Linked DNA regions of Lonchura striata. The protein of the gene in region 3 purifies or fractionates together with the protein of the main gene of each other region. This does not show direct contact. Links are inferred from orthologs where the notes say so. Each region holds a gene or a part of one and is shown on either strand. Other genes may lie near its edges.

What was found.
Region 1: the proteins of TULP3 (region 3) and SIRT1 purify together in Homo sapiens (affinity purification with mass spectrometry; 5 studies listed by BioGRID and IntAct, counting the BioPlex papers as one, with this or other methods). This does not show direct contact. The link is inferred for Lonchura striata from reciprocal best matches to the Homo sapiens genes TULP3 and SIRT1.
Region 2: the proteins of TULP3 (region 3) and WDR19 purify together in Homo sapiens (affinity purification with mass spectrometry; 5 studies listed by BioGRID and IntAct, counting the BioPlex papers as one, with this or other methods). This does not show direct contact. The link is inferred for Lonchura striata from reciprocal best matches to the Homo sapiens genes TULP3 and WDR19.
Region 4: the proteins of TULP3 (region 3) and IFT122 purify together in Homo sapiens (co-immunoprecipitation; 6 studies listed by BioGRID and IntAct, counting the BioPlex papers as one, with this or other methods). This does not show direct contact. The link is inferred for Lonchura striata from reciprocal best matches to the Homo sapiens genes TULP3 and IFT122.

What each region holds. Positions count from the first base shown.
Region 1 is NC_134609.1:35,338,533-35,346,063, reverse strand, and holds the start of SIRT1 (NAD-dependent protein deacetylase sirtuin-1), read left to right. Parts: upstream 1-4,522; 5' UTR 4,523-5,468; intron 5,469-6,359; 5' UTR 6,360-6,388; coding exon 6,389-6,601; intron 6,602-7,531. UniProt on the Homo sapiens protein: NAD-dependent protein deacetylase that links transcriptional regulation directly to intracellular energetics and participates in the coordination of several separated cellular functions such as cell cycle, response to DNA damage, metabolism, apoptosis and autophagy.
Region 2 is NC_134606.1:22,777,113-22,784,370, reverse strand, and holds the start of WDR19 (WD repeat-containing protein 19), read right to left. Parts: upstream 3,159-7,258; 5' UTR 3,082-3,158; coding exon 3,076-3,081; intron 2,096-3,075; coding exon 2,004-2,095; intron 1,838-2,003; coding exon 1,772-1,837; intron 1,766-1,771; exon of another isoform or gene 1,392-1,765; coding exon of another isoform or gene 1,361-1,391; exon of another isoform or gene 1,249-1,360; coding exon of another isoform or gene 1,238-1,248; intron 283-1,237; coding exon 157-282; intron 1-156. Other genes in the region: KLHL5 (kelch-like protein 5), read right to left, coding at 4,866-4,922, 6,996-7,167. UniProt on the Homo sapiens protein: As component of the IFT complex A (IFT-A), a complex required for retrograde ciliary transport and entry into cilia of G protein-coupled receptors (GPCRs), it is involved in cilia function and/or assembly.
Region 3 is NC_134604.1:31,058,211-31,065,863, reverse strand, and holds the start of TULP3 (tubby-related protein 3), read left to right. Parts: upstream 1-4,645; 5' UTR 4,646-4,678; coding exon 4,679-4,719; intron 4,720-7,653. Other genes in the region: RHNO1 (RAD9, HUS1, RAD1-interacting nuclear orphan protein 1), read left to right, coding at 1,286-1,453, 3,632-4,282. UniProt on the Homo sapiens protein: Negative regulator of the Shh signaling transduction pathway: recruited to primary cilia via association with the IFT complex A (IFT-A) and is required for recruitment of G protein-coupled receptor GPR161 to cilia, a promoter of PKA-dependent basal repression machinery in Shh signaling.
Region 4 is NC_134614.1:23,873,544-23,881,127, forward strand, and holds the start of IFT122 (intraflagellar transport protein 122 homolog), read left to right. Parts: upstream 1-4,445; 5' UTR 4,446-4,513; coding exon 4,514-4,554; intron 4,555-4,714; coding exon 4,715-4,781; intron 4,782-5,976; coding exon 5,977-6,061; intron 6,062-6,877; coding exon 6,878-6,956; intron 6,957-7,584. Other genes in the region: MBD4 (methyl-CpG-binding domain protein 4), read right to left, coding at 799-876, 1,020-1,123, 1,732-1,881, 2,114-2,248, 2,535-2,609, 2,962-3,773, 3,961-4,095, 4,274-4,299. UniProt on the Homo sapiens protein: As a component of the IFT complex A (IFT-A), a complex required for retrograde ciliary transport and entry into cilia of G protein-coupled receptors (GPCRs), it is required in ciliogenesis and ciliary protein trafficking.

The DNA.
Region 1 (7,531 bases), on a different chromosome or scaffold from region 3:
TAGGTTGTACTCTGTGGGAGGACAAAAAACAAACAGCTGTCCCTCCTCCCAACAGCATTCCTGACATCCCTTCTTTTCCAAGTATTCCTTGTGTATTTATGCAAGGTGAAAGGGAAGCTCTTTAACTCTTTTCCCCTCCAGCTTTCAGTGGCTATTTCTGTGCTGCTGGGCAGCTGCAGGTCCAAGGGCTGCACTGCAGTGACAAACCTGGCAGCTGGGTATTCCCTGGGAATGTGCTCCCTGGAGCCTCAGCCCCGCCTGGACTCCTCTGCCACACACAGCACGGCTCTGACCGAACTGCAGCAGTGCCCACACTCACCCCTCGAGGCACAAAGGCTCCCAGTGCAGGTTCGTGTCTGGAGAACACAAAATACACTGAACAAGAACTCAGCCTTTCACTGCTCCTATTGACTTCTGAGGGGCAACTCCCAAGGCATCATCAAAAAGGAGTGCAAGAGCAGCCACGTGTATTACACAAAAAAATTACAAAGATATGCTCTGGGACATAAAGTTCATTTAAAAGGGAATTGCAGCGCAGGAGATGGCACAGACACATGCCGTGGTTAGTGTTGCTCAGGATGTACAAACTGTTCTGGAAGTGAGGAAATCTCATATTTGTTCTCTGTACCCAACCACCAACAAAAGGTGTCTCTCAGTCCTAACACATATTGACAATTCTGTTTGTTTAGAGCCTAGAGTGAATCTAAATCCTGCTCCAATGTAACAGGACATTTACCAACAACCTGTAAAAGTCATAAATAACCATTGAAATAAAACAGTAAGGTCTGGAAATCTCTATTTGAATTTATTCCTGTAAAATACATAAAATCTTCCAGGACCAGTTCTTCTCAACTGACTTCAGAGGTTTTGCTTCCTGAGGGCAGAGAACACATTTATGAGAAGTCCAAGGCACCATACAATTCATTTGAGTTTTGCATGGTGTGCCCCATCCTTGTTCTCACAGAAGCTCAGAGCTGCAGAAACAGCAGAGGACCCAAGTACTGCCAAACTGACCTCCCACAAGAAGGTAACTCCTGCAGCACCATCGCTGACGTGGAGCAATGTCTGCAGGATCAGAGGTGGCTTTAGGATCCCTGAGCCACTCCCTCACCGGTACCTCCACAGAAACCTCAGATACTACCTCTGCATCACTTGGATTATTTCTTCCTTAGAACTGTCTTCACAAAAATAACCACCAAACCAATCTTACATCCCCACCTCCCCTTTATATGCTGACAAATGCATCTTGCATGTGTTTTTTAAGAAATACAGATCTCGCCTCAGCTTCCAGAGGCAAGAAGGAAAAAGAACGCTTGCACACAAAGTTGCATAGAATAATAAAAACTTTCTGATCTGATTACTCTGCAGCTTGTTTTGAGAAGCAGGTAGTGGGAAAAACCAGTATGTACGTATTTTTCAGGGTTTTTAATACCTTAAAGAACCAGAAAAGATCCCCAAACCTCTCTCCCCCAACAAAGACTACCTATAAAGTTAATTATCCATAAAATAATCCCTTTGAAGCCACATGTATCAACATTTTTAATCCCAAGGTTTTTTTAAAAGCTGTTGGTTAGCAAGGCCTGCAAGGGAGAAATTCTACCTCTGTAACCTGGGTCTTGCCACTAAAGTTAGGAATTCCATTGTATTAAAGCCACTAATACTATCCTGCAAATAGCTCGTGATGTTGAACAGTAACAACAAAGCAGCATTTACATTTCTATCCATGAAGTTTAGACCAAAATTCTGTGTTGGTGGCAGTTCTGGGAAGAAGGCTGAGTTCTATCCAGTCCAACCTCCAAGGCGGAAGGGAACTCTGCCATGGGAAGCCCACGCGTGGCACGGTCCTGTTGGCTGCAGCGCCCAGGTGGGGCTCTAAGGGCTGCTCCTGCACTCCAGGGAACGAGAGATCCCCGGGACAGCAGGGAGACCAGCCGCGCCCACTCCCGCGCAGCACGGGAAACACAATGGATTTGTGTTTTTGTTATTCGAACAAATCCCAACTCTCGCCGCTTACCATCAGGCCTCTCCTACACCACGCAGGTTCCATTCCTAAAGCAGCAGTGATTTAGACAGGTGCTGCCCCCCCCAAACAAGCCCCTGCATCCCGGGAGCTCAAGTACCGCGATGCAGGATCTCGGGTGGGGCTGATGTGTTTTCCCGGAGGACACGGGGCGATGCCCCACAGCATCCCTGCCGGACCCCGCGGTGCCGGGGCGCTCCCTCGGCAGGGGCGGGGGCGAGCGGCACAGGGCCGGGGCGGCAAGGGACGGGAGGGACAGGAGGGACAGGAGGGCGGGGAGCAGGCTCGGGGCAGGCTCGGGAAGGGACGGGAAGGGACGGGAGGGTCGGTAAGGACGGGAGGGCCGGGAAGGACGGGAGGGCCCGGGGCCGGCGGGGCCGGCGGGGCCGCCCGAGGGAGGGGGCGCGAGGCGGCACGAGCGCCACGTGACGCCGGCAGCGCCGCCGGTCACGTGCCCCGGTTTGTTGTGGCGCGGTCACGTGCCGCGGTCACGTGCGGCGGCGCTGCCCGCGGCGGGCGGGGGGGGCCGGGCGCGAGGGGGGCGGCGGCTGCGGCGGCGCCAAGATGGCGGACGGGGACGCTGCGCCGCTCCGCCCGCGCGGCCCCGCCGGCCCCGGCAGCGACGGCGCCGAGCCCGCGGCCAAGCGGCACCGCCGCGGATCGGGGAGCGCCGCGCCCGCCCCGCGCCCCGACCGCGCCGCGGGGCCGCCGCCCGCGCCCCTCGCCGCCGTGCCCGCGGAGCCGCCGGGGGAGACGGCGGCCGCGGGGTTCGATGGCGGCCGGGCGGAGCGGGAGGACGGCGGCGAGGCGGCGGCGGCGCGGAGCGGCGCGGACGGCGGGGCCGGGCTGCGGGGCCTGCCCCGGGCGGAGCCGCCTCCGCGGCGGGATCAGGGGGAGGGCGCGGAGGCGGCGCCCGGCGAAGACGCGGCGGAGGCGGCCCCGGGCTGCGGGCGGGCGCAGTGTTCGAACGGGGCGGCCGCGGTGCCGGCCCCGCATCCCGGTGAGGAGCGACCCCTCCCTTCTCCCCTCCCTCCCCTCCTCCGCGGCTCCCTCCTCCCCGCACAGCGCCGCCCCCGCGTGTCGCAGGGGCGCCGTGTCACCGGCCCGGCCCCGCCGGCCAGGGCAGCGGCTCGGCTCTCAGCCCTGAAAACATCTATTCTGCTGTGTTGCTGGCAGCAAGTTATTAAAAATGAACAAATATAAGCCCGGTTTCCTTTTCGCAATCTCTGCCGCGTTAATTATTTTATTTCTGATCCTTAGAAACTTGCACATAGGCTCAGCAGCAGCAGTCTTGACTAGTTCTTTAAAGAACTGCAAGTGACAGTCTTGGCTAAGGTTTCAGTGACTGCAGCACAAAACTAAGCTAGATCTCAGAGGATACGGGGTGCAGTATCCTCTCTTTTCCTAAAAAGTTTCTTTCAGATATTTACTGGTGGGCAGCATCAGCATCACTGTGAAAGTACCTCACAGTGCACACTGATCAGGTTTGAGTTCTGTTTTGTTTGAGTTGTTAATTTTGGCTTGCCTTTTTTTTTTTTTTTTTTTTTTAAAGCAGTGCTTTGGAAAGACTTATTAAAATTTATCAGACACTGGATTCTGCCAGTATAGTCTTTACATTTTATCTTGGAATGCCGTTAGAGGTACTTCAACTCTGTAGCAAATGTCTGTGCAAAAGCAGTACAAAAGGAACAGGTATAGAGTAAACCTGGAACAGCCTCAGTATTTAAAATCTCCACTAGAACAGCTGACAGCCAAGCCAATGATCTGTTACTAGTGCCTTACACAAAGCCTTTTGCTCAGGTCCCTCCGAGCCTCAGGTGTTTTGCTGTGGCTGGCTTAGTTCTGGCCTGCATTATCCCCTCTGGTCCTTTGAGGAATACTCAGGGAGTGTTACAGTTTGAACTGTTACTTTATCCTTCTTGTATCTGTCAGCGTTTCCTGAATCCCAGGCCCTATGCCCTGCCTGTGAGGAGCCTTTCACAATGTAAATTTTGCTTCTTGATACAGAAGCCATAAAGGTCGCTCAAGTTAAACTTGTACCTCGCGGTTACTGATGTGTACTAATGCACTTTTTCCTTCTCCAAAATTCTCAATGTTCACTGACTTCATGCATAACATGATGGAACTGAAATGCTGTAAATAAGTAGATTAATAGGAAATAGTAATGTCCATCAGCACCTGTGGCCTCAGAAGAACAAGACAGCAAGGACCAACAACAAATTTCTGTCATTGATCTTTATTTTCTAATCAAAAATAAAGTCAAATCAAAAATTTATGCTAACAAGGAGAAGGACAACACAACCTCTGAATAAAAAATGATGGTGTTTAGTGGTGTTCTTTATTTGAGAATCGAGCGGAATAACAGCTAAAACAGTGCAGGGGGTTCTTCAGTTCTTCAGACGAGAATGAGAACTACGTCAGTGATTCTTTGCTTTACAGAGCATGAGTGAAATTTGTTCTTTGTCCATAGATTTTCAGCAAATGAAGCTACAGGTGCTGAGGCTATTTCTAATGAAGCCAGTAAAAAAGGTTGTTGAGTAGTCTATGTTCTAATAAGCTGCTCAGGCTGGAATTTAGATTTCCCCTTCAACGTGAGCTCAGTAACACAAATTGTTCTTGTTCTGCCCTGGGCTCACTCATCGAGGTCTGAGATGGAGTTAGATTGAGTTACTCTGGCTTAAAGCCACGGGCTGAGCTGAGGTGACTCTGGCACTTTGAGCCAGGCCCAGCTGCAGGGCCAAATGGACGAGAGAAACTTAGTGAAGGTGGTACAGGGGAGCATGTTCTGTGTCACAACTGAAATATCATAAATTGTGTATGTGGTCAGCAATACAGCCGAGCTGCAAGGTAACATCCTCACCAAATCCTGTGAATTTGTTGTAGCAAATGTGCATTTGTGGGTTTCTTTCAAAATGTTGTTAAATGCTCTTAAAACCTAGTCAAAGATCTGTCTGCACTGGTGACATGTTTTCATTTTACCCAGTTTTTGAATGAACTGAATGCAGTGGGAAAGGGAAAGACGTTTTCAGTTATACTTTTAAAACATTTGGATTATTTCTATGGTGAAATACCCATAATGCCCAACACTTTAGAGAACAAGATTTCACCAAGGTCAGCATCCAGTCCCCCTGAAGCCCAGCACTGAGGTGCAAACCCTGCAGTAAATCTACCAACATCTTGGAAGTCCATCTCTAAATGTGAAGAGAAATAGACATTTTCTGTGCCTAAGTGACAAAGCTTCTGACTGTGTGATTTTTGTTTTTGTGATCAGTTTGAAGATGCACTGTGCCCTTGGGCTGGAGTGTAACCCCATGCTCATGCTGTCTTGCAGATAACTTCCTCCTCAGCGAAGAAATCATAGCCAATGGCTTTCACTCCTGTGACAGTGATGAGGAAGACAGAGCCTCCCATGCAAGTTCCAGTGACTGGACCCCAAGGCCACGTATAGGTAAAAGCCTGGAGCATGATCTTGGATGCTCTTTGCCTTTGAACAATCACTCCCTAGTGTTCAAGTTATTTTTCCTGTTGCAAAAATATTGGCAGTTAGTGCCTCTGAACAGCTTAGAGTGTTGACTGTATTCTGTATGTTATTTAAGGAGTTTAAAAATGAACCTTGAAACTTGCTGTATTTTGATTAAAATTGTCAATGTCTTAATTTTTTCTTGAATATAAATCCTGCCACAATTCCTATGAAAAGCATACACACAGGTTCACTAAATTAGACTAATTTATGGCATGTTTCTATAGCTTGCCTACTTAGTATTAATTCTTTAAGGGACAAGAAGATGATCCCTGTATGATTTTAGGACAGTGAGCCCTCATCTCAAGTGTTTCTGGAAAGATTGATTTAATGGCTTGAGGAGGTAATGTCTGAAATAATTTGTGTTAAATGACCAAAAAACCAACAAAAATCATGGATTTCTGGTCTCTATGTGTCTGGTTAGAGTGATGGTTTATAATATCTCTGGAAAATATATGTATGTTTGTTGTTTGTTTGTTGTCAGCTTATTCCTGTAAATACTGAATGTTGGGAAAGTACAGATGGAGGCACATTGTGAAAATCCTGTTGCACCTCTAAAAGAGGTTAACTTTGCTGTGAACTGGGATTTTCACTTGACCGACTTTCTATGAAATCCTTCATGGGTTAACATAAAATAATGATATATAAATAAAATGCCCAGCTCTCACTTTTAGATCAAAATACAGGGGGTTTGATAAATGGAGCATTAAATTGGATTAATGAAACTGTACTAGTAAGGATTAATAAATGGAACAATAACCATGATAATTTGTAGTACCTAACTCTGTTTTAAATATCTGTATTTTTAAATTTTCTTAGGTCCCTACACTTTTGTTCAGCAGCATCTCATGTTAGGTACAGACCCACGGATGATTCTGAAGGACCTGCTACCAGAAACGATCCCCCCACCTGAACTGGATGACATGACTCTGTGGCAAATCGTGATAAACATCCTTTCAGAGCCACCAAAAAGGAAGAAGAGGAAAGATATCAACACCATTGATGATGCTGTGAAACTTTTGCAGGAGTGCAAGAAGATCATGGTCTTGACTGGAGCTGGGGTAGGTATTGCTGCAATGACGGTGTGAAAATGTGGAGCCAGGTTGGTTCAGTACTTCAGTACAGCTTGCAGGGATGGGAACAAGAGGTTGCAAACCCTGCAGTAAATCTGCCAACAGCTGTCGGGGGAAGAGTCCAGTCCACTGCAAGGACTGCAGCTTCCATTGGAAATCACACATCTTTCTTCTCAGAACCAAATATTCTTAGACACAGAAACTTGTAAACAGCTGCTCCCATGCAAAACAGTTTTGGAATAAGAACACATTATCTGTCCAGAACTTTTTCTATCCTAGTCTTTTGTTTTAAAGCAGAATCTCAGTGGATCTCTTAAAATCCCAGATGGAGCTTGAGGGACTGGAAGAAGAGGATTTGAAAAGAGTTGGGGGGGAGGAGGAGGATGATCATAAGGACAGTTTGGTCAGATTTCAGCAGACTGAATGTTACTTTCAGCACGTGGTGCTCTGTGGTGCTGATAAAACTACTCACTCTTTGACTAAAGAACATTTCTGAGCTGCAGCACATTTGCAGCTCTGTACCTGTGCACCAGATCATTTCTTGTTTCTGTTGTTCACACACAGATGGTATGATACGATCCAGATCAGATGAGTAATTCAAATCAGCTTTTAGAAGAGCACTGCTACTCCCAGTCTTGCTCTTTCCATACTTGCACACACCTGTTCCTCTTCCCATGCTATTTTGGGGTAGTCTGAGACAATGATTTCAGTCCTTATTGACTACTACAATGCTTTGATAAGCAGTGTTTATTGATAAACAACTTTTATCAAAAGGGGTTTATTCTTCAGAAGTAAGAATATATTTTTTTAAAAGCAAGACTATTCTGTTAGTGTGTTAGCATGTAAAAAAAATTTAAAATATCAACCAACATTTCTAAGCCTGAGTTGGCAGATCTGTGAACAATTAATAATTAAATT
Region 2 (7,258 bases), on a different chromosome or scaffold from region 3:
ACTCTACTTTGTAGCAATTAACTGTAGTATGTTAGTTTAATTAGTATATATATTACGAGGACTCCAATACAAAGATGATCTTGAAATATAGCCTCCACATCAACAAGTCATAGTGGTCCAAGGCTTTAAATAACCACGTTAAAAAAAATTTCTTACCTCATGCCACTGTCTACTTGGCTTGTTTTGTTTGTGATTGCATCCCACAGAAATATGGTGCTAGATTTGTCTGTGATTATTGCTAAAGTATCTCCATCCTTATCCCAGTCCATAGCAACACAGTTACTGAAGAAAAAAAAAAAAATCACTAAGAATGTTAAAATGTATTTGTAAGTATACAGAGACAGCCAGAACAACGCAACCGAGTCCCTATTTCTTCCTTCTCCCCTGTAAACCAATGACAGATTGCAGATTTATCTGTAAACTAGTTCTATAGCAACCCCACTATTATTCAAATCTCATTGATGACAGGAGCTGAGAGGAAAGTCATAAAAGACACTGCTACCTATGTTCTAATACTTGGAAGACTGTCACCTTGATTTTCAAGAGACACTGAAAGTGCTCTGCAAGGTTCTGGTTTGTTAGAGGCTATTCAGAGTTGGGATTATTATTCTGATAATACACCACTGATTCCACACACCTTTCCTCACTTGGACAGTTTTCTGGAGAGAATGTGCATTTATCATATATTGTGCAAAACACTTCACAGAGAGCTGGGCCATGGATATTACCAAGCAAAAGAGACAGACACAGCCAGACCATATTATGAATGACACCTGACCCAAACACCAAGATGTGATGGTCAGTGAAATACACGGGAGTCTGGTAAAGACATGGAGAACTGCATCTCTTGGTTTGGTGCAAGCGGCAACTACCACAAACTACAAAGACTGGACTTCTAGATTCTTGGGGAACTAAGTGATTTTGGCTGATATTTACCAATGACAGAGTATTGCAAGTGACAATCTGGAAATTTAAGTTATACTCTTGACTAGAGGTTTCAGCCTTAAAAACCATGGGAGTTTTGCCTTGACTAAGGAGTTTATCATAATCTAAATTCATCAGGTAGCTAGAAATAAAAATTTTCCATGATGACCAAGAACAATTAAAGTGATAAGAAGAGATGAGAAGTACACAAATGTAACTACATGAGATATTAATGGTGCCCAATAAAAATGTATTTATTGAGCAAACCAATATGATGACCCAACGTCACACCATTTTTCCTTAGGGAGGTTACCCCTGGTTCATATCCAGGATTTTCCAATGGTCTGACTGCCTTTTAAGAAGTTCAATATATCTTCCAAAGTATGCAAGTTTTTAAATTTAATCTGAAAAAAATCCAGTCTGTAAACTCCCATACCATTCTCTGATGTGAACCAAAGTGTGACAAGCTGGGAAAAAAAACAAAGATTCACTTCAGAAGTATCATCTTCACCTAAAGCAACAATGCCAATGTGTATATTTATGCCACTGATGCAAACAAAGCACTAAAGAAATATCTTTTCTCAGCAAAGCCATGATAAATTGTTAGAAAATCAACAGTAGCAAGAATACAAAGATATAATTTACACAACCTCATTATGATCCTTCTTAATGTGATAAGTCTTTTTTTAACATTTTAATTACATAACTTGTCTTCTCTGCCAGGTATGTTCACCAGGGATAGTATATCATCCTACACATTTCTCACATTGTTTAAGTAAGTTTAAGAATAGAAGCATTTTTAAAGAAAACAACAAAGAAAATAATTTAAACCTATCTTAGTACTTACCCTGGTAGGCTGATTTCATTTCTCTTCTGACCATGACGATCAAAAATTTTCACAGAATGATCAATGCTAAAAAAAATTATATACATATAATGTATATATAAAATGTATATATGATGTATATATATAATGTATTATATGTATATACATAATGTATATATATAGAATACAGAATAATTCCCTTTCTTTATCAGTAATTATGATGAACAAATGCAATGAATAGTTGCAGTCTTACCCTATCACAGCAAGAAAATTTCCTAAAGTTTTCTGCCAAGCAAACTGCACAGGAGAACCAGACCAAGCTTTTTCATACAGACAGAATACTTGCTGGGGAAAAAAAAAAAAAAAAGTAGGAAATTGTACATCTTAAAATCATAAGAATACTACAACTGCCTAGCATGTTAGCAGCTGAGTACTGTAGAGGTAAAAAAACCTCACAAACATTACAAACCTAACTTCTGTGTGATTCCAATGCACTGAAGCATAAAAATCCCACATAAACGTCCACCCCAAATGCCTGTGAGGTTTGCTCAAGTCTGACACAGGTTCTTCCCCCTACTTTTGGGTCAATGTAAACTGAAGCATTCTTCACACTGAATCTGTGTTCTGCACACCAGAACAGCAAAAATACAACCACCACATGCCACAGCCACAAACATCATCTGACAATGACGTTTGATTTTGAAAAATAATTTAAGGAGGAGGGCCACCAAGATGATTTGAGGGTTGAAGCACCTCTCAATGTATGAGGAAAGGCTGAGAGAACTGGGATTACTCAGCCTGGAGAAGCAAAGACTTTGGCATGACCGAACTGTGGGCTTTCAGTACCTGAAGAAAACACACAAGACAGAGGGACTATAATAAGGGCATGCAGCCACAGAACGAGGGAGAATGGCTTCAAACTGAGAGAGTAGGTTTAGATTAGTTACAAAGAGGCATTTGCTGTGACGGTGGAGAGGCACTGGTACAGGATTCCCGCAGAAGTTCTGGACATTTCATCCGTGGAAGCGTACAAGGCCAGGCTGGATGGGGCCCTGAGCAACCTGGTCTAGTGTTAGATGTCCTTGCCCACAGGCGTTGCAGCTAGATGAGCTTTAAGCTCCCTTCTACCCGAAGTTTCTGCATGCGAAGTAAACAAACACGGCAGTGCAGGCAGGCACACCAGCCCCCCCGCCGCTCGCCGCCGGCCCCTCCCGCCGCGCCTCCCTCCCCGGCACGGGCCGCAAGCGCCACGGGCCGCTCGCCCCGGGGCCGGACCCGCGCCCGCCCCCGGCCCGCGGCGCCCGGCCCGCGGCGCCCGTACCCACCTTCATCGCGGCCGCCAGCGCCGCCGCCGCGCATGCGCCGCCCGCCCACGGCGCCGCGGTTACCGCGGAGACGGAGCGGCCCCGGCCCGGGCCGGCCCCGGCGGGAGGAGCTCGGCGGGGGGAGCTCGGCGGGGGGAGCTCGGCGGGGGGAGCCGGCGGGAGGAGCCGGCGGGAGGAGCTCGGCGGGGGGAGCCGGCGGGAGGAGCTCTGCGTGAGGCCGCGGCCCCAGAGCGCGGTGCGCGCAGCTCTCGGAGGAAAAGGAGCGATTTTAGACCGTAGGCAGGCAGAACGGGCTTCTAAGCGAGAGAATAAAGGCACACACCCGCCAGCAAAGCCTCTTGAGATCAGCTGTATTCCAACTGCAAAGCTTCATCACAAAGTGTCACCGATTTCTTTTAAAACAATAAATAGTTCGCCGAGAGCGTTAAAACACACGCTTAAAATTACAAATGTACAAAGGACTTTGGGTATCGGGCACTTCAAAGTTTAAAAAAAAAAACAAACCCAAAACATTCAATGAGTTCACATATTCCCGTTTTTTCACGCGCGGTGCTGTTCGGAGAACTTAAGGGACAAGGCACGTAAAAACAAATACAAAAAGGCTTCTCCCGAGAACATTTAGACCGTTCAAAGCAATTCAGTGTAACAGCAGAGTGCTCGAGAAAGGCAAATTATAAAGTATCTGAAAAAATTAGCTAACTGTTAAATAAGGTAACAAATTTGATACAGCCCTGCGAGGCACACATCACAGTCCTGTAAGATGCTGAACATGCTTAAATGGTGGCAGCTGAGCATCTGGCAGGATTGGGCCCTTTACATTTTTAAATAACCTTACAGGAAAGACAGACAATTTCTTCATCATATAAAATTATACTTCTTATAGTAGTGCAAAGCCTCATTTAAAAATGTAATAAGTCTAGATGTAATGGAATGCTTCAAAAATTCCAAAGTGCAAATATTAAACTTAAATTGATTAATTGTTAATCACACTTCAGAATTTTTCCAATAACACATACAAACAGCAAAGTAAATACAAGAACCAAAGCAGAGAAAAAGGTATGATGTTCTGCATCTTGCATAACAACTCTGAAAATCCAAAAAGTACACTGGATGTCAAAAATATCTGTCAGAAATTACCAAATAGTAGGTTTCTGTTAGCATAAGACTATTTAAAATAAGGCTTTGGTTAAATAAAAAGTTTGCTAAACTAGGAATGATGATAAAAAGTGCAAAAGATTCACCAAATACACAACTTCATTTCCAAGGCAGGCATCACACACCTGCCATTTACAATGGTTTGCATTGGTTTGTTAGCCTGCCTTGTAGTTACTCAGATACCTACTTGCATTTATTACAAGCAAATTAAATCGATGGGGTCCAATCCTATAACTTGTTTCATCCAGAGATAGACCCCATTAAATGAAAGTATATCCATTTATAGCATCATTGCTCTGCATTTAGGAAAATCAAGGCCCTGGAACCATAATATTTGATTATTATAGTGAGTTCACTCATTTTCTTAGCACTTCCTAAACAGAAGTCCTCTATTACCAACTGGCAGGTTGCAGCTGACTTGCTTACAAGTAGAATTCTTGTAACATATGCATAACAAAAGTTTTTAAAAGGTGCTTAATATTGGTCCATAAGAACATCATGTTAGCTTCAGACCAAACACTTTTCCATGGTAAATGTCCTGCACCTGGTGTTTATTGGTGCACTCATAGTTTGCTTGAGGAAAAAGCAATCCTCTGAATCTGCACGGGAGAATTCACCTTCCCAGAGAAAATAATTCAGAGTTTTACAGTCACAACACATGCTCCAGCTCTTCCTAAGCACAGTGGTGCAACCTGTAAACAAACAAGCCATCTGTGAGATAAATACAGTCATCTGTATTTACAACTACAACTATTTCCCCCTAATTTACAACTATTTCCCCCTCATTATATGGCTGCAGCAGAATGACTGTATTACCCATGCTCTGTTAACATGACTTACACATTGGTTCAAAATTGGATACAAACACAAAGAAAAGGTAAAGATATTTTCAGTAACAGAGTGAAGCACTCTGAAAACAATAGCAAGCTCTAAGGACATCAAGAAATTCTTATTGATAATTTCATTTATTCAGTATTACAGAAAAAAAGAAACCTTTGTTTTAGTACAAACTGGATACCTGATCTAGACAGTCAGAAAATTGAGTAAAGGTTGGTAAACTAATGCATTTCTCAGAAACCAAAAATGCCTAAAATTATAGGGGCAACCTCTCCTTTATACTTGATTATTTGATAAAATCCTGTTAAGAGTTCTTGAAATTAGAAAAAAATCACCAGTCTTTATTCTTTAATTGCAAACAATTTACTTCTGGCAAGACCCTTTTCTGCTGAGATTCTGCTGGACTTGGAACAGTGGGCAGTAGTTTCTAACACTCCCCTTTGCTTCCCCTTTTAACCTTCATAGTATTGCAATGTATGTGAGTAGCACACCGAGTGGTACAGAGACTATCCTGAAGACAAAAAAGGCTGTTTATGCCAACTCCCCTATTTCTTTTTTTTCCCAGGAACAATAAACTTTTACAGAGCTGTCTGTGACTCTGACAGCCTTCGCCTGAGAAAATTCCACTGCCTTCTCCTGAGTTGCATTAAGATGAAAAGGTGGCAGACTGCTGAAATAACAAGAGAAGGAAGGTACACAAATATTTCCCAATCCCTCTGGGAAGGGTTTGAAACTATCCTATACACTGGGATTGTGGCATTTGGTGAGATATAGGGGGTCAAAGCTAAGGATATCAAGGTACATACAGATGGTCACCACCTAGACATGATGCAATGGTGAGAAGCACAGTTTCTCTCCTCTGGTGAGAAGCAATTTCTGTCCTCTGATATACTTTTTTTTTCTTTAGCAGGACTAACAATGCCATGGGTTATCATTACCATACCAGTGAATACCCAAGCTCTGATGATCCTCCTTGATGACTTGTGTTTTAAGAGCTTGCAGTAATATGAAATGCAGGGAAATGAACAATTGAGGTTTTTTTGTGTTCCAGGAATTTTTATAAACAGCAGTTTAGTTCTCTTTTTGAATTAAGAATTTGGGGCTGTTACTAGAATGACATATTCAAGTGGCTCAGAATTCAGTTGCCTAAATACTGGTGTCTGATGCTATTACAGATGAGCTTGGGCATTCATCCTGGTCTGCAGCTGGACTCCAGGATGGCCTTGGTGTCCCATAGAGTCTGTGCTGTATCTGCCAACCTTTTGTGGATGTAGATGCTTTAGGGTATTTCAAATGGCATTAGACACCAAAGGACAGTCAGCTCAGGATGTCCTTGTGTGTGCTATTCCCACTGAGCTACACATTCCTAGAGCTATATAAAAGGAACCAAATTCTGAACTGACAGTAATGGTTTCTGAGCATGAACTGTAAAATTATTTTTATTTTAAAACTGCAAAAAGAAAAATGGGTAAAGGCTTTCTGGAACCTACATACACTGTACACAGCATTCACCTCTGGAAGGGACTATTTATGAAAAAATGACCAAAACCTTAACGATATGAATGTTGAGAGACATATTAGAGCTAAAACTAATCTACATTTATCTTCAGAACAGGAAATAATGTAAACAGAATCCTTTGTGACAGTTTGGGGAATGTGGCAATACATTTTATTAAAAGTAGCTGAAATTGTCAAAGAAAATAGCTATACTCTTGCAAAAGGAAGGAGGGCAGTTTATTAACAACAAATTAACAACTCTCTGTTCAAGAGAAGTCATCTCAAGATGGTACACAAAGGAAAAAAAGAGACTCAACAGACGAGAAAGAAACTGCTTTTTAGAGAAGGAATATTTGAATTCTCCTTGCAAAAGTAGGCACATTTGAAATAACAATATTAATAGTAGTGTATGATCTGATTAGAAGCTATACCTGTGTCCATTCATTTGTCTGGGGATCATAAGACTCCACGGTATTAAGATATGTTTGACCATCATATCCTCCAACAGCATACAGCTTGTCACCAAGAAGACACACTCCCACTGCATCTCTGCTAATGCTCATAGAGGCCACAGCAGTCCACATATCTGTTTTGGGATCATACCTAAAAGATAATTTGTGTTATGCTCTAAAACTGTTACCAAAATTCAACAACAACAAAAAAATGTACTGGAATTGATGCTGTCAAGGTAGTA
Region 3 (7,653 bases):
GCAACAGCGCGGCCAGCAGGGCCGGGACAGGGACCGTTCCTCTCTCCTCGGCACTGCTGGGGCACTCGGAGTGCAGCGCCCGGTTCAGGCAGGACACTGAGGTGCGGGAGTGGGACCCGAGAAGGACAGCAGAGCTGGTCTGGAGCACAAGTCCCACGAGGAGTGGCTGAGGGAGCTGGGGGTGTTCAGCCTGCAGAAAAGGAGGCTCAGGGGGGACCTTAGCGCTCTCTACAAGGGCTTGAAAGGAGGCTGTGGCCAGGTGGGGTTTGTAACTTCTGGAGGCATCCTCTGCAGAATGTCTGTCAACTTGTTTCAATGGAAACTGATTTTCTGCTCCTCTCTTTTTGGCATTATCTAAGTTTTTCATACCTTTTTCACTACTAGGTTCCTGCATAGGTAAAACCTACCCTACATGTTCTCTCAAGCACCTCTCAAGCACCTAGTGATGGAACAAGGGGACATCATCCGAAGCTGCACCAGGGGAGGTTTAAGTTGGGCATTAGGAAGAAGTTCTTCACAGGAAAGGTGAAGACAGGCGAATGGGCTAGGGAAGTAGAGTCCCTGTCCCTGAAGATGTAGCACTTGGGCCATGGTTTAGTAGCCATGGTGGTGTTTGGCTATAGGTTGAATTTGATGATTTCAGAGGTCTTCCAACCTAATTGAGTCTGTGTTTTCCAATAGAAAATTAAATACAATGTTACTTCAGTTCAAACTTATTCATTAGGCAAAACAAATCATGCAAGATCTGTAGAATACGGGAGATGTCAACTCTGTTTTGTAAAAAAGAAAAAAACAAACTTAAAATCCCTTGAAATTAAAAACACACAGGTAGTTAGCAACCAGAAAGGGAAAGAGTTCTGATTATCTTAGCCTTACAATATCTTCTTGGCATTACAAACAAGACTGAATTGAAAAAAAGAAAATAAATTTTTTGGCTTTTTTGTTCTTTTCATAGCTGACTTGTTCTTTTCATAGCTGTATCAGTAGGTCAACAGCTTCCCTTCCTGCAGTGCATTTCTAAATCTACCTGAAAATTAACAAAAGGCCCAAGAACCACTATTGGGAAAAAGTCTGCCTCAAGATGTATACACTGTGCTGTTGCATAAATGTTTTGCTTTTGTTAAAAACTGCATCTGAGGTTTCCAAATGAGTCTGTCTTCAAATCCATTTATTTGCTTCTACAGATTTGAGAGCACTTTCGCATCTCCTCAGGGTGCTTCCATCTTTCTTCAATTGGCTCCAACAAGCATCATGAGGTTTCTAAGTAGTTTTACCACACCTTTTGATGCCTCCAAAGAAGAAGTGTACCCACAAGGCCAGGAAGGCAGAGCTGATTTTCCTTGAGAAACCACGGGCAGGACCCATCCATTGTTATGAAGCTCCACTGCATTTGGCTGAGAATCCCAGACGTGTGCCTACAAAACCTGTAGACCTGAACACCTCTGCTGCCTGGGTTGGTACAAATTATCTTTCCTCCTGCGTCCCACACCAACAGTTTTCAAGTTTCTCCTGTTTCTCCTGTCTTAAAAGAAAGTTATCTGTTCTGGATATGGAAAGTTAGTAGCCCAGACCTGAATTCCTTCTATCAGTCTAAAGCATAAATAAGTGCTTGAGTTGCTTGACATTCTAAGAATAAGCACTAAGGTCTTGGTTACTTGAAGACATAAACTGTCTGCAGTGTGTACTGATTAATGAATATTTGTCTTCTAGAAAAATTATTCGCATCAGGAAAACACTGTTTTCCTTAGCAACCAAAACCCCTGCACAAAATAATCATTAGGGGAGTCCTTTCTTATTGGCTTGCTGTTTAAAATAACTGCTGAACTCTAAATGTTCGATGTTAAAGTATTGAGTGTATTGTTTAAATCTGAAACTGCTAAATTTAGAGAACATAGGTTTTTACTTCAGAATCATTTGTTCTAACCTGCTCTCTTTTCCATTTATGTTTTTTGAGTAGTGTCTCTCCATACCAATCTTCTGATAGGTTCATTTTCTTGGGACTGTTTGCCATGTCCTAGAATACTCTTTATATCATGTAATATAAAGCTTTAGTTTTTTTAAGCAAACAGCTGCAGCAAAGACAGACTGTTCCTATACAACAGTAGTCATCACCTAGGGGAGCTCTGTTTAAACATTATTGCTGCTTGACTGCTCTTCACAAAGCAAACTCAGGAAGAGTGGTTTCAAAACTGTATGAAACATTCCTTTGTTCCTGTTGACCTGCAGGTATTTTTGTAATGCCTTAACCTTGAAGTAGAACATCTTCAATTTTTTCCTCTTTAAATTTTTTTTGTATCTGCTTGAGGCAGTTAGCTCTACAGTTTGTGAATCACTAAGTGAAATAACTGCTGTGAATAAGCATTCATTTTGTTTGGAAGAGGTGGAAGCATCCACTCTGGTAGCTCTTTGATTCCTAAAATATTCTAAAATTTGTTTGAAGCTATCAGTACTGAAACTGTTAAATATTTCTCAGTTTGGTAACTGTGATAGGTTTGTAACTTCTGGAGGCATCCTCTGCGGAATGTCTGTCAACTTGTTTCAATGGAAACTGATTTTCTGCTCCTCTCTTTTTGGCATTATCTAAGTTTTTCATACCTTTTTCACTACTAGGTTCCTGCATAGGTAAAACCTACCCTACATGTTCTCTGAAGCCGGAAGCCATATCCTTAAAATCAGGGATTATGTTAAGTATGTGCTAGTATACAATTATTAAAGAATCATTTCTCTTTTCCTGCAAAATGGCTTTGGAGTCAAACAGTTCAGCTGTACATTAGACAATCACCATCCTTAGTTAAATTGCACTCAGTGTTTTGAGGAACTATATTGTAACCTAGGAATGCTGAAGGAGATCTGTAGTTACCATAGCAAGAACTCAGATTGGTGTGCTCTTGGGAAAAGCAAACTGGAATCTGAAACAGAGTCTGACTCTTTTGTTGGTAACCAGGAAGACAAACACTGTAATGAAAGGATTTTCAGGGTTTGAGAATGAGTCCAGAATCATTCACAGAAATACAGACTGTTGAGCTTGGACCATCTCTTCTATAGGAAGCTGATTGTAGAAGTGGATTTTGGGTGATCTGTTACTCCACAATACAGAAATTAACTATGTTTTGAAACAAAGATGTTTGGGGGGAAGATTTTGAACACCCTATTAACATAATCTAAGGGGATTGAGCTAAGCGGGCATTCTTCAATCATTTTGTGTTGCTCTCCCAGTTCAGCCTCTACTTCTTTGGGGGAGGCTGAGGATTTAGTTCTTTGAAGCTATTTGAGTTATGCTAGGTCAGAAAGAAAAAGGATCCATTCTGAACTTTCTTAAATCCTCAGGGGTTACAGGAGTAGACATCATTAGATTTCCTTTAAAACCCAGATCTCAAGCTCTTTGTGAGCTGCCGGAGAACAGCTCACTTTTGCCACCCTAATGACTTTCCAGAGAAAAGTGGCAGAACACGATGCTGAAGTTCAGAGGTTTCTCATGCATAGCAGCTTTGTTAGTGACTCATTTGCTTTGCTGCAGAACAGATTACTCAACGAACACACTGAAAAAAGGTGGGGAATAGAATCAGGTAGGTATTATTTGTCTGGAGGAAAGGGTTGGGTTTTTATCTTATTATTATGTCTTTCCCTTCAGGTATGCCCACAATTTGACACAACTAAGGCGGTGGTGTTGAAAGCACGCCAGAAGAAGCATCGTGGTCCTCAGAAGCCCTATAATCAGGATGCTAACCACAGTTCATTTCATGCAGGAGGAGCTTGCCGAGGAGCTGTAGCCTGCAGATTTCCTCCTTTAACTTTTGAGAATCCAGAAGGACATGCAGTCCCTCTCTTGGATGATCCAAATTGCTTGATAAAGAATGCACAATGCTCTCCCACCCAGCCTAGGAAAGGGACAGCGGCAAATGCCAACATCCAGGTGAAGAGCCCAGAGAACTGTGGAGAGCTTGTTCCCCAGCCTGTGGAGCAAGATGTCCTTAGTCCCTCAGATGCAGAGGCTGTACAGGCTCCTTCCCCAAGGAACGGGAGATGCAGCAGCACTCTATCACCAAGTAGTCATGCCTGGCATCCAGAAGAAGAGCTGCCATTTGGTGTTGATCCGTGCGGGAGAGGGGAGGCGGCAGCAGTACTGGTCACGGATACCCCCGAGCACGAGTACGGAGTAAAGGTCACCTGGAGACGGCGGCCGCACGTCATGAGCTACCTGCGGGAGCAAGGCAAGCTGAGCGCTGCGGACATCCTGGTGAAGGCAAACCTCGAGCTCTCGAGGAGACAGGCCCACAGCTGACCCGGCGGGAGCTGCGTGCGAGGACACGCCCGAACAGATGGTGTCCCTTAGGGCGCTGAAGAGGGACGCGATTTCAGCCGGGCCGCGGGGGCGGCTCTTGGCGACGGGGGAGGGGGTGGGGGGTATGCGGGGCGGTCTCTCCTGGGGCAGTGTGTGGCAAGGGCTCTGTGTCCCGCGGCTCCCGCCGGGGCTGCTCCCCGCTCCCCGCTGCCGGCGGGGGCGGCTCCCGCGGCGGGCGACGGGGGCGGCCGTTGCGCCCCGCCGCGCGTGCGCGGCGCCGCGGCCAATCGGCGGGCGGCGTGCTCGCGGCCCCGGCCAATGGCGGCGCGCCTCAGTGCCGCGCGGCGTTGCTAAGGACAGCGGCGGGCGGGGGCCCATAGCAACGGCGGGGCCGCGATGGACGCAGCGGGGGGACCCGGCGGGCCCGCCGCCCACAGGTGAGCGGGGCCGGCGGCGGCGGCGGCGTGCCCGGGCCCAGCGGGGCTGGGCGGGGGCTGCCTCGCGTGGCAGCAGCGCCCGGCGCCGGGATGAGCGGCCGCAGCGGGGCCCGGGCGGGCGGAGCCGCGCGGCGGCGGCCACGCGGATCGGCGCTGCCCCGGTAACATCCGCGTCCCGCCGGCGGGCGACAGCCGTGCCGCTGCTTTATGGGCGGGTGTGTTTTATGTGTTGGTGTGCATCGTCCGAATACTTGTAGATTAAAGCGGTTTTATGGTGTCTCGGTCCCCTCCTGGTTTCTGGGTGCCGCTGTGAAGCGTTTTCGCGGTGTTATTCAGCCCCTCTGCTCCTCCTCGTGAGCCTCTCTGGGTATTTAGTGTCACTCTCGGTGGGCCTTTGCAAGAACAAAAGGAGGAATGAACTCTGAAATGAACTCAACTGATGTAATAGGAAAAACAGCTGTGAACTATGGAGAAGCGGTTTTGGAAAGACTTTATGCTTCTGGCACTTAAGTAGCTCAAAATCGAAATTATCCGAAATTAAATTTGAGTGTACTGGCAGGCAGAGGAAACAGGTTTTGGCAGAATTGGTGTGACTACAAAAAAACCCAGGAAAATCTATTTTTGTGCCTCTATTTGGATAGGAAGAAGTAAAGCAAGTAAAGGGAGAAACCTAATTTTTGGGTAGGGAAACGATAATGAGCACAGTGTAGAAGAGAAACCATACTTTTTTTATTGCATACATTGTTACATGTGGTAATTTAAGGAGAATGAAAAACAACAGTAAGAGTTAGAAATGGTCCTGTAATTGCTTGGATCCACCAAATATGCTATGGAACATCAGTTTACTTCTTTATGCAGACTTGAAAGGCCTCGGTTTGACTCGCAGTTCTGAAAACAATTTTTAAGGAAATTATGTCCAGATATGTGTAAATTTCCCCGCACAGTAAACCTTTAAGCTTGACAGAGTTGACACTACAGGAAGTAATGCTGCTCTTCTGATAACAGTTCTACTGGCATAATTTCTTTCTGCTGAGAAACTTGTCTCATGTGCTTTTATGGGTGTCCCCCAGAAACAGGCTAAAAATAATGGCAATTCATGGGATTGCTGCTTCCCTCCCATCCCAGTTTATTAAAGAAACAAACATTTCTTTAGCTTTCTCGGTCCCCATGGTTAAGGTAAGAAAACTAGAATACATGAACCTAAAGAAAAGTACATAGTTTTAAAATAGATCTGTAAGGCTTGTTGTTTTTAGAGGGGTTTGTTTTTCTGGAGTGTTCATCAGCATTGTAATAAATTGGAGGAAGACAAATGTCTGTATTCTTAGGAAGGTTCTTCTTTTTCTGAGACAAAAATAGTAAAATTATCCAGAAGTCACAAATCTGGTTACTAGAACTCTTATTTGGTAAAATAATTGTCAGTTGTCCGAACAGTGGATTTTATAGAAAAGGTTAATGTGATAGATAATAACTGGCACTTCATGGCAATGAAGATCCTACAGGTAAAGCTTAACAAAGCTGTACCTGAGAACTGGTGGGCTGCAGGTTTTTTTGACCATTTTTCCCCCTAGGGGTGAAATGCCTTTACTATTGAGCAATGTGAAAAATACACATAAAGATATTGGAAGTCTTTTATTTCTGAGGGACAGAGTCGAATATTACCAGTAAAAAATTAATGCATATTGTTTTGTAAGTGTGCTGTGGGATACACGATGATGGATAGACAGAAGAGATCTTGGATTTAGGCCATCTACAGGCTCTCACTTGCAAATACTGTGTTGTGTTAGACTTCCTTTGACTGGAACTGGCTGCAACTGAAATTGCTCAACTTCATTTTAAAATTTGGCTTCAGGTAGACATGGCACAACTGTCTTAATGCTTTAGAAAATGATAAGCTTGATATTGCTGTTTCATGGTTTTGGTGAGTGCTAGACCTTCTCTCTTATTTGGGAAAGTCTATTTGGAGACTTACCATGAAATTATTAGTGTAGAAACATTCAGGTAAAAATAATTCTAATGTAAGCTTTTAAAATATTGTGAAGGAAATTTGTTTCTTATGGAAGTATGTATTTTAGAATCTCTGAGACCAATGGACTTTGCACTTTTGTACACTAATCACACAGTGTACAAGGCTTACAGCTTCCCACATGCTGCATTCCAAATATGCTTCAGCTTCGGACTTGCAGATGTCATTTAAGAGGAACAGAATGTTCAAGGGGCAAAAATCTTGACTGAGTCTATGGAGACTACAAAACTGGGCATCAATTACAGCGGTCCTGCCCTCATTTGGATGCTTCCTTGGGGTCCAGACATGCATCAGTTAGTGGCTTTCTGTTTGTGAACTCTGGAACTCTGGGATTTTTGCTCAGTGTCTCCCAAAGTTAATGAAGAAAAACAGCCTGTTGCCAATAAGCTCAATTTTCAAAATATTAAGAGCCTACGGATTAAGAGAAGTTGAAATCTTCAAAAGTGGACTGTTGTCTGGCCAGAAGCCCTTTCCACATTTTAGTAACTTGAGTGTAGTTGAAGTTGTCAGGAATGTGTGTGCCTGCTGGGCTTTGAGTATTTTATATAAATGTATAAAATCATAATTAGGATTTTGAGGAGAAAAAAGACAAAATACTTTGCTAATTATTTTAGCTATACTTGTAAACCAGAGAAGACAGATAAGTTTAAAATTCCTTTTAAAAGCATCTCAGCGTCTCTATTAGTCCTTGGGTATTTTTATTTAGCCACCAGTGATCTTAAAATTAACAAGCAATGTTTGTCAAATTCCAGGACTTACAATTCTGCAGATCTTATCCTTAGATGATTGAGAATTGGCTTAAAATTCTGTGTTCTTCACCCTTTTCAGCTCTAAACATTATAATGAAGAAATCTGTTCAAAGTGAGATAAACCTGTAAATATTTTATAAGTGTGGTTGATATGTACCCCTT
Region 4 (7,584 bases), on a different chromosome or scaffold from region 3:
GGCCGCGGATGGCTCGGCCAGGACTCACCGGTGCCGATGGCGCCTCCACCGCGGGCCGGGCGAGAGAGGGAGGGGCCAGCGCGCAAGCGCTTTACGGGACACGGTCCTGGCAGGGGCGTGTGGCGCTGCGGCCGCGCACACAGGGCCCCAGGCACCGGCGGGGCGGCGCGGAGGCCAGGCCGCAGCCGCGGTGAGGTGGCACCGGGCAGGGAGGTTCAGTCCGGCGGGGGCGCCCAGATCGGTGCTTCCCGCTCACCTCCACGAACGGTGCGCTGGCTACGGGGCTGACAGGACCTGTCCGTCACAGGCAGGCTGTGCCCGCCAGCCACTTCCGCCAGTGCGGGCGGGCGGGCGCCGCCTGGCGGCGCGGCGGACGCGGAACGCGCCCGGCGCTCCCCGGCCGCAGCGACACGGGCCCGGCGCGGCTGAGGCCGGCAAGGCGCCGGTACCTCCGGCAGCACCGGGGCACAGCCACGGAGCGCGGTGTGCTCTGCCCGGTCTGCTGCTGGCCCAGGCTCCCCCGCTCAGCCCAGCACCGGCATCAGATCCCGAGCGCTCCGGCCCCACCGGATGGCTGTGCCCAGCCTGGCCACTGGACGGCTGTGCCCAGCGGGACCCCAGCCTGGGAGGCAGCTGTGGGCACAGAGCTGCGCTGCAAGAAGAGACAGGCACTACAAAACAGGGACACGTTTATTAAAAAAAATAGCGGTAACTCCATGACATCACACAAATATTTACACCCAGAACTGTGAGGGTGCCCGAGGGAAGGTGGTGGGGCCAGGTCATCCCCAGCTCAGTTCAGTCGATGCTCAGCCTCTCCCGGTTCTCCCACAGCCACGTGTGGTACACGTTCAACTTGTGGTCCTGTGGCTGTACCTGAGACACAGGGAAAATGTCAGATATTTACTGAAACACCTTAAAGTATCTCATCGCTCCCACATTGTGAGCATTGGTTTTCCAGCGCCAGGGGGTCAGTGGGCACAAGTGAGATGCCGAAGGACCCAAAGGGCACCACCCACCTCCTTCCATTCGTTAACACAGAAGATTCTGTAGGAGTCGTTGCCGTACTTGCCGATGCCGTGCAGCTCGATCGGGTAGCGCCACGCCTTGCTCAGGTACTCACCTGCCAGGCAGGGCACAGTACTCAGCACCTGCACACACAGACCCTGCCCTCACTGCCTGCACATAAGGCAGCTGGCCAGGACCCTGTGCCACTCTCACATGTCTTCATTTTAAATGAAAACCGTAAGTTTTAGGTGTTTCCAGGTGCATGCAGACCACGAATCCCCACGGGTTAATCTTAAACTCCTTTTCAACAAACCACCGTGGGAGTTTTAACCATAACATCTTCCATCAGAACAAAATTCTCCTCTGCAGGTTCTATGTACAGAATCAGAAAAATGCCAGCTGGAAGGGCATTCTGCAGGTCACTGGGGCACCCCTGAGCACAGCCACCTGTAACAGTGCTCACACACAGCAGCAGTACTGCAGGTGCTTGGGAGCTTCTGCTCCAACGAGTTTCTCTCTCCTGCAGAACACCCCATGGCTGGCATCTCCTTCCCAGCTCAGACTGGGACCACCAGCTCTGCCTGTGCGACACCAATGGATCCCAAATGCTGCAGAACAGCCTCCACCACCCAACAGAGGAGAGCCACAGAGCAGCGCTTGCACCAAAGCTGTTTGTCTTTTGCCAGCATAACCAAGATTGTTCCAGATGTCAGGAAAACCCACCTGAGAACCTGATGATGGTTTTGGCTCTGAGTTCGTAGAGGCCAAGAGGCTTGAGCAGCTCTGACATTTCTTTCCAGTCTGCAGCCCTGGCTACCTCAGGAGAAGGATACTTCTTCAGGAACTCCCAGAGCACTGGAATAGCCATTTTCCCTGGTGAAAGAACCCTGTAAGCAGGAGGCTGGGCTGGAGTTCTCCTTCTGCCCTATCCATATGCTTTCTCAAGTGAGCTTTTCCAAGGTAAGGTACCAACTAAGAATTATTATTCCACAGTGACACAAGTTAAAATAAATCAATTCTTTCATTAATACCATTAAAACTGCAGCTGTTTCAGCCCTGTAACACCTCCAAACATTTACACACCTACTCCTGCTTCTCTACTTACCTGAAGTTTTGTTGAGAAATATGGTGGCAATGAGAAGCTTCCATGGATCATGGAAGAGTGTTTCCTGGATAAGATTGAAAGGAGAACGTGGAGGAGTCCATTTTCTGAGGGCCTTTCTTCTGGGTGGGCTGAGGGCTGTACAGGGGCAACACAGGAACATTTATTAGACAGGGAAGGATGGTGTTACCTATTTAATGAAAAAGAACAAAAAGACCTCTGAAGCATTTTTGTGGAGGCATTGTGCATAGATGTAGACACAGCAGTTCCCACACAGCCTTTACAGGGCTGTGGGGGGCTGTGTCCCACTTGGCACAGCTGCAGCCAAGGGGGTCAAGCTGCAAGGAACTTTCCACATCATCACTTGAGCCTGAGCCATCCTATCCCTTCCCCGCAAAAACATGTCTTTCCCTAAATAAAATACCTTCTTTGCTGTATTTACTGGAAAAATATGGACTCGTTTTCCTTCTCTCCACTTGTGTTCGTGGGACAGACTCTTCTGTAAAGAAATAAATTTCAGCATTAAGAAAAAGCACCAAGTATTCTGCTGTCATGTTTCACACACCACTTCCTCTTTATAAAGTGATGGAAACAGAAGGAATTCTTCTCGTGTACAGGACACAAATGTACCTTAAATCTCCTCAGATCTTGCCTGACACTGTACAGCTTAGAGCTTGGCACAGTGAGTTTCAGTTTTGAGTAAGCCTGCATTAGTTTAGATGCTGTTGGATACAAATGAGATCTGGATGTCAGAGCAGCTCGAGCTGAAGCAGAACACGTGGCCTCAAGAGCCAAGGGAGGCTGGGCAGAAGGTGAAGGCTGGCACCACCTCCTGCTCTCACAGCACGCACCTGGTGACGTTGTGGCTGCGGCGGAGCTCGTCCTGTCCCACGGCTCAGCATCCAGCTCGGGCTCAGGTTTCGCATGCTGCTCGCCCAGATCCCCTGGACCTGGCACTTTCCCCGTCTCCAGAGCAGAGGATCCCTCCTCAGGCCTCGCAGCAGGTGTGCCACCGGAGCATGGCCCCTGCTTTGGCAGATGACCCAGCTCCCTGTGTGAGCCAGCCGCCGAGCCCAGCCGTGCCCTGGGCATTGCTGACAGAGCTCTCCCTGCACCCGCAGGGTCAGCACCCAGTGCCCCCACTCCCTGGCTGTCAGTGCCACAGGCATCTGTCTGCCTACGGACCCTCTTGTTCTGAGCACACTTGGTCTCCCATGTGTTAGAGATTCTTCTCTGCCTCTTGCTCTTGGGGTCACCTTGGTTCCTCCTTTCTGAGCCCTTCTCACACTTCCTTGTTTGGACAGTTTTTCCATCTGCCCTCTTTCTTTTGGTTTTCAAACTCTCCTCTGGGTTTATGCCTACCACTGCTAAATCTGTGCCTTCCACAGTAGATATAGCATCTTCCAGGTGTCTATTCCCAGCCTGGATGTTCTGAGTTCCAACCTCAGCACCATTCTGTGCACGGAGCTCCTGCACTTTGCTCTGGCAGTCCTCCTTTTCCAGGTCAGTCCTCGCAGCTCCAGTGCCACATCCCCTCAATCCTGGGCGTGTACTCCCTCGAGGAGCTGCAAAATCAAAATCTGCTGCTTTCAGTGTTGTCTCCCCAGTTTTCTGTAAATACTCCACAAGTGCTCGTTTTGACCTCAGCTTCTTCCCTTCAGGGCTGTGGTAGGAAAGGAAAGCAAATTAGCAATGACTCTCATTTTCCCGCTCTTTGCTTAAAAATCTTCAATAGTACATAAAAACAACCCCAAAACGAAGCACAAAACCAGTTTTGCGGGGACGTCTGGGCAGGTTGCTGTGCTCCTGCCAGGGAAGCCACACAGAGCCGCTGGCAGCCGCAGCCTCACCTGATGAAGTACACGTCGGTCCTGCCGGCCGTCCGGCCCGCCCGCCGGCGGCTGCTCACCCGCTGCCAGCCGCGGGCCCTGCGCCCGGGGCCGGGCCCTTCCGCCGCCGCCGCGCCTCCACCGCCGCCCCCGGGGCTGCGGGGGAAGAAGAGCGCGGTAAGTCCTGCTGCCGGCGGAGCTCCGGGCTCGGCGGGGCGCGGACCGCCACACGAGCCGGGCCCGGGCCGGGCCGCGCGCAGCCGCGGACGGGGCCCGTACTCGGGGCCCGTGATCCCGGTCCAACCGGGCCCAGCCGGGCCCGCCCCGCGCTCACCCGCGCGCCGCTCCCGGCGCCGCCATCTCCCGGCGCCGCCCCGGCCCCGCCCGCGCGAGCGGCCCCCGCGGCGCCGGCAGCGCCCCCTGGCGCCGGCGGGCCGCGGGCGCAGGCGCGTTGCCCGTGGCAGCGGCGGGGCCGCGGAGCGACGCCCGGCGCGGAGCGGGCCCGGCCGTGAGGGGCGGTGCCGGGCCGTGCCGAGCCGTGCCGGGCCGTGCCGGGCCGTGCGGGGTCCGGGGGATGCGGGCCGCGCTCACCTGGCGCGACAGGGCCGAGCAGTGGTGAGCGGCCCCGGGCGCGCCGGCCCGTCCCGCTCCGAGCGGCGGCCCCGGCTGCGGGGGCTCCCAGCGGGGTCGGTGCCTCTACCAGCGCTGGCCCTGTGGCACACCCGATCTGTTTTGTCTCCTGACACGCGGTTCTCGGTTTGTTTGTTTCCCTCAGCATTTACGACCTCGCGTTCAAGCCGGATGGGACCCAGTTGATAATTGCTGCTGGAAACAGGCTGCTGGTAGGGAAACCTTCCTGTCCTCTCTCCTTTTCAGCTGTATAAGCGTGATTTCTTTCACATTAACTTATGAATATAACCTATCTGAAATCCCCTTATCTCTGTCAGTGCAGCCTCTCAGCAACATACATATTAATGCAGGCCAATTCTAAAGTGTTTTGAAGCTTTTAAATATTTCTTACCAAGTTTTAAGCTCTTTTTCCAAAAGTAATGAGATTTACGTTATTTGTGTCATCTCATGTTCTTGCGCTGTGCCCGGGGTTTGAGATCCATGAACCTGCCCTTAGTCCTGGCACAGCGTGCAGGGGCTGTGCTGGTGCAAGTTTCTTTAAAATCTCGGTGACAAGGGAACATGCTCAAACCCGTGTCCTGGCATTGTGGGCGCCGTGTGGGAACATTCACCTCAGGCTGTTTGTGGGTCCTTGGGGCTGCTGCAAGAGCAGCTCAGGACCAGCTGCTCAAAGGCCCTGTGAAGCTGTGAGGTGGGGCAGCTGTAGGAGCTGCAGGAAGGCATGGATGGATGGATGGATGGATGGATGGATGGAGGGAGGGATGGATGGATGGATGGATGGATGGATGGATGGATGGATGGATGGATGGATGGATGGATGGTAAAGGTGGAGTTCAGCATTGCAGGACAACAAGTGTTATTTTCAGGGCTAACAGAATCATGTATTTAGTGGTGTTCCTTTGCAGTAATTATTATGCTTAAACATAAAATGCGTAGAAAGATGTTTTAACAGCAAGATGTAAAATATAAAAATAAAAGATAAAAAGCCAATAAGATGTAAAACAAGCTGCCAAACAAGCTGTTGAAAAATGTCCTTTGTGTGTGTTATTTTCTAGTACTGACTTCTTTCTAAGAATATAATGTTACAGAAAGCTGTTTCTGTGCTAGAAAGTGTTTTGTCTTTTATGAACTATATGAAATCCAAAAAGCAGACACAAAAGGAAGTGCATAATCTGCTGGCCTTCAGTACTTTTGTATCCCAGCCCTCACACTGGCGGTGTTTTAGGCCAGGTTGGATGGGGCTTGGAGCAGCCTGGTTTAGTGGAAGGTCTCACTGCCCCATGGCAAGGGCATGAATTGAGTGAACTTTGAAGTCCCTTCCCACCCAAATGTGTTCCTCTGATTCAATGAAGGGCTTTTTGTGTAAATTCTTTTGTTTGTATTGTTTTTTTCTCCCCATTTGAACAGGTGTATGATACTTCTGATGGAACCCTAATTCAACCTTTGAAGGGACATAAGGACACTGTGTACTGCGTGGCTTATGCCAAAGATGGTAAATGGCACCTTGGGGCGTTGTTAGCCTGTTTTGTAAAGTGCATCTCCTCCGTTTGGGATTGCCCACTGAAAATGAAGAAATGGGCGTTGTTTGGCTCGCAGTGTGGGGTGCTGGGGTTTGTTCTTTAATGAGTGCTGGGGTTTATTGTCCAGTGCAGGGTGTGATCTGCTGTGCAGAGTACAGTGCAAATACCTGTAAGGTCACCTGTGAGCCCAAGAGCTGTGGTCCCACTGCTCTGCTCTTTGACTTAAGTGTTGAGCTTGGCACTGGTGAAGTGTATATTCATGAGAAGGCTCACCTCAGAGATTCCTGTTTCTACTGCTCACCTACATCTGAGTTTTAGTCCTGTAGTTCCTCTGTCCTAGAGGAAGTTCCTGGTAGTTCCTGTAGTTCCTGGTCCCCTGATCTTTCATATGTTACCTGCTCAGTGCACTCTGCTTCCAGTTTTCTGCGACTCTCATTCAGTGGAACTCACTCTGTGGGCAGGAGCCTTCCTGCAGCTGCTGCTGTTTGGGTGATGGGAGTTCCTGTGACCTTGTACCAGTTTCACTTGTCACTGTTCCCATCAATCTCCAGCTTGGGGCTGGGCAGCACTGGAAGGACTGGTGAGTAGCAAGGCCATGGAAATGGTGCAGTACAGCCGCTGGAACTCCATGTGCCTGGGGAAGCACCAGCACTTACAGGCACTCAGTGTCAGCCCCTTATTACTTGAGTCTTGTTGAATTCAAGAACTTCTTGCTCTCTCTTTGATTGAGTATTTGGAGTGAAAGTGATTCTTGTATGTGTGGGATTTAAATTATCTCTAATTCCTAGGCAAGCGTTTTGCATCTGGCTCTGCTGATAAAAGTGTGATAATTTGGACTTCAAAGTTAGAAGGAATTCTGAAGTACACGTAAGTGATGCCGTTCAGTTCTGTGCCTCAGAAGCTGATTTTGATTATGCACTGCTGCGACTAAAGAGCACGAGCTATTAGACTTGGGAGAAGGTTCACTAAGGTCAGAGAAAAGGGGTGATAGGGGAGGGAGGAGGAAAAGAACAGCTGAAGTATCTGAATGAGGCAGGAAAGCAATTAAAGGCATAAAAGGAGGTGGGAAGTCCAGAGAAATCTGTGAATTTAGAGGGCTGACAGAGAACTAAGGAAACTCAGAATAGGTCAGAGTAAAATGAAACATAACATGACCAGTCTTCTATAATAAATCATAATTCTGGTTCACAGATCAAATTAAAGATAGGTTTGGAACTTCTGGTATATTTCAATCATTTGGCTCCAGCCCTCTGAAGCAACAGCTTCATGTTCTCCTGACTGCACATTTATCAAGAGTTAGCTGGTCACTGCACAGAGCCTGCACAGGCACACATGGTTTAGGATTTGGATACAACCTTCAATCATATTTCACAAACAGTTGCTGTAATCTTGATGAAATACAGTGAATCCTGCTACTTGGAGGCAGCTTTTACAAGGTTTATTACTGATTTACTTTACAGTAATAGCAGACTTACTTGACATACTATAAACCAAT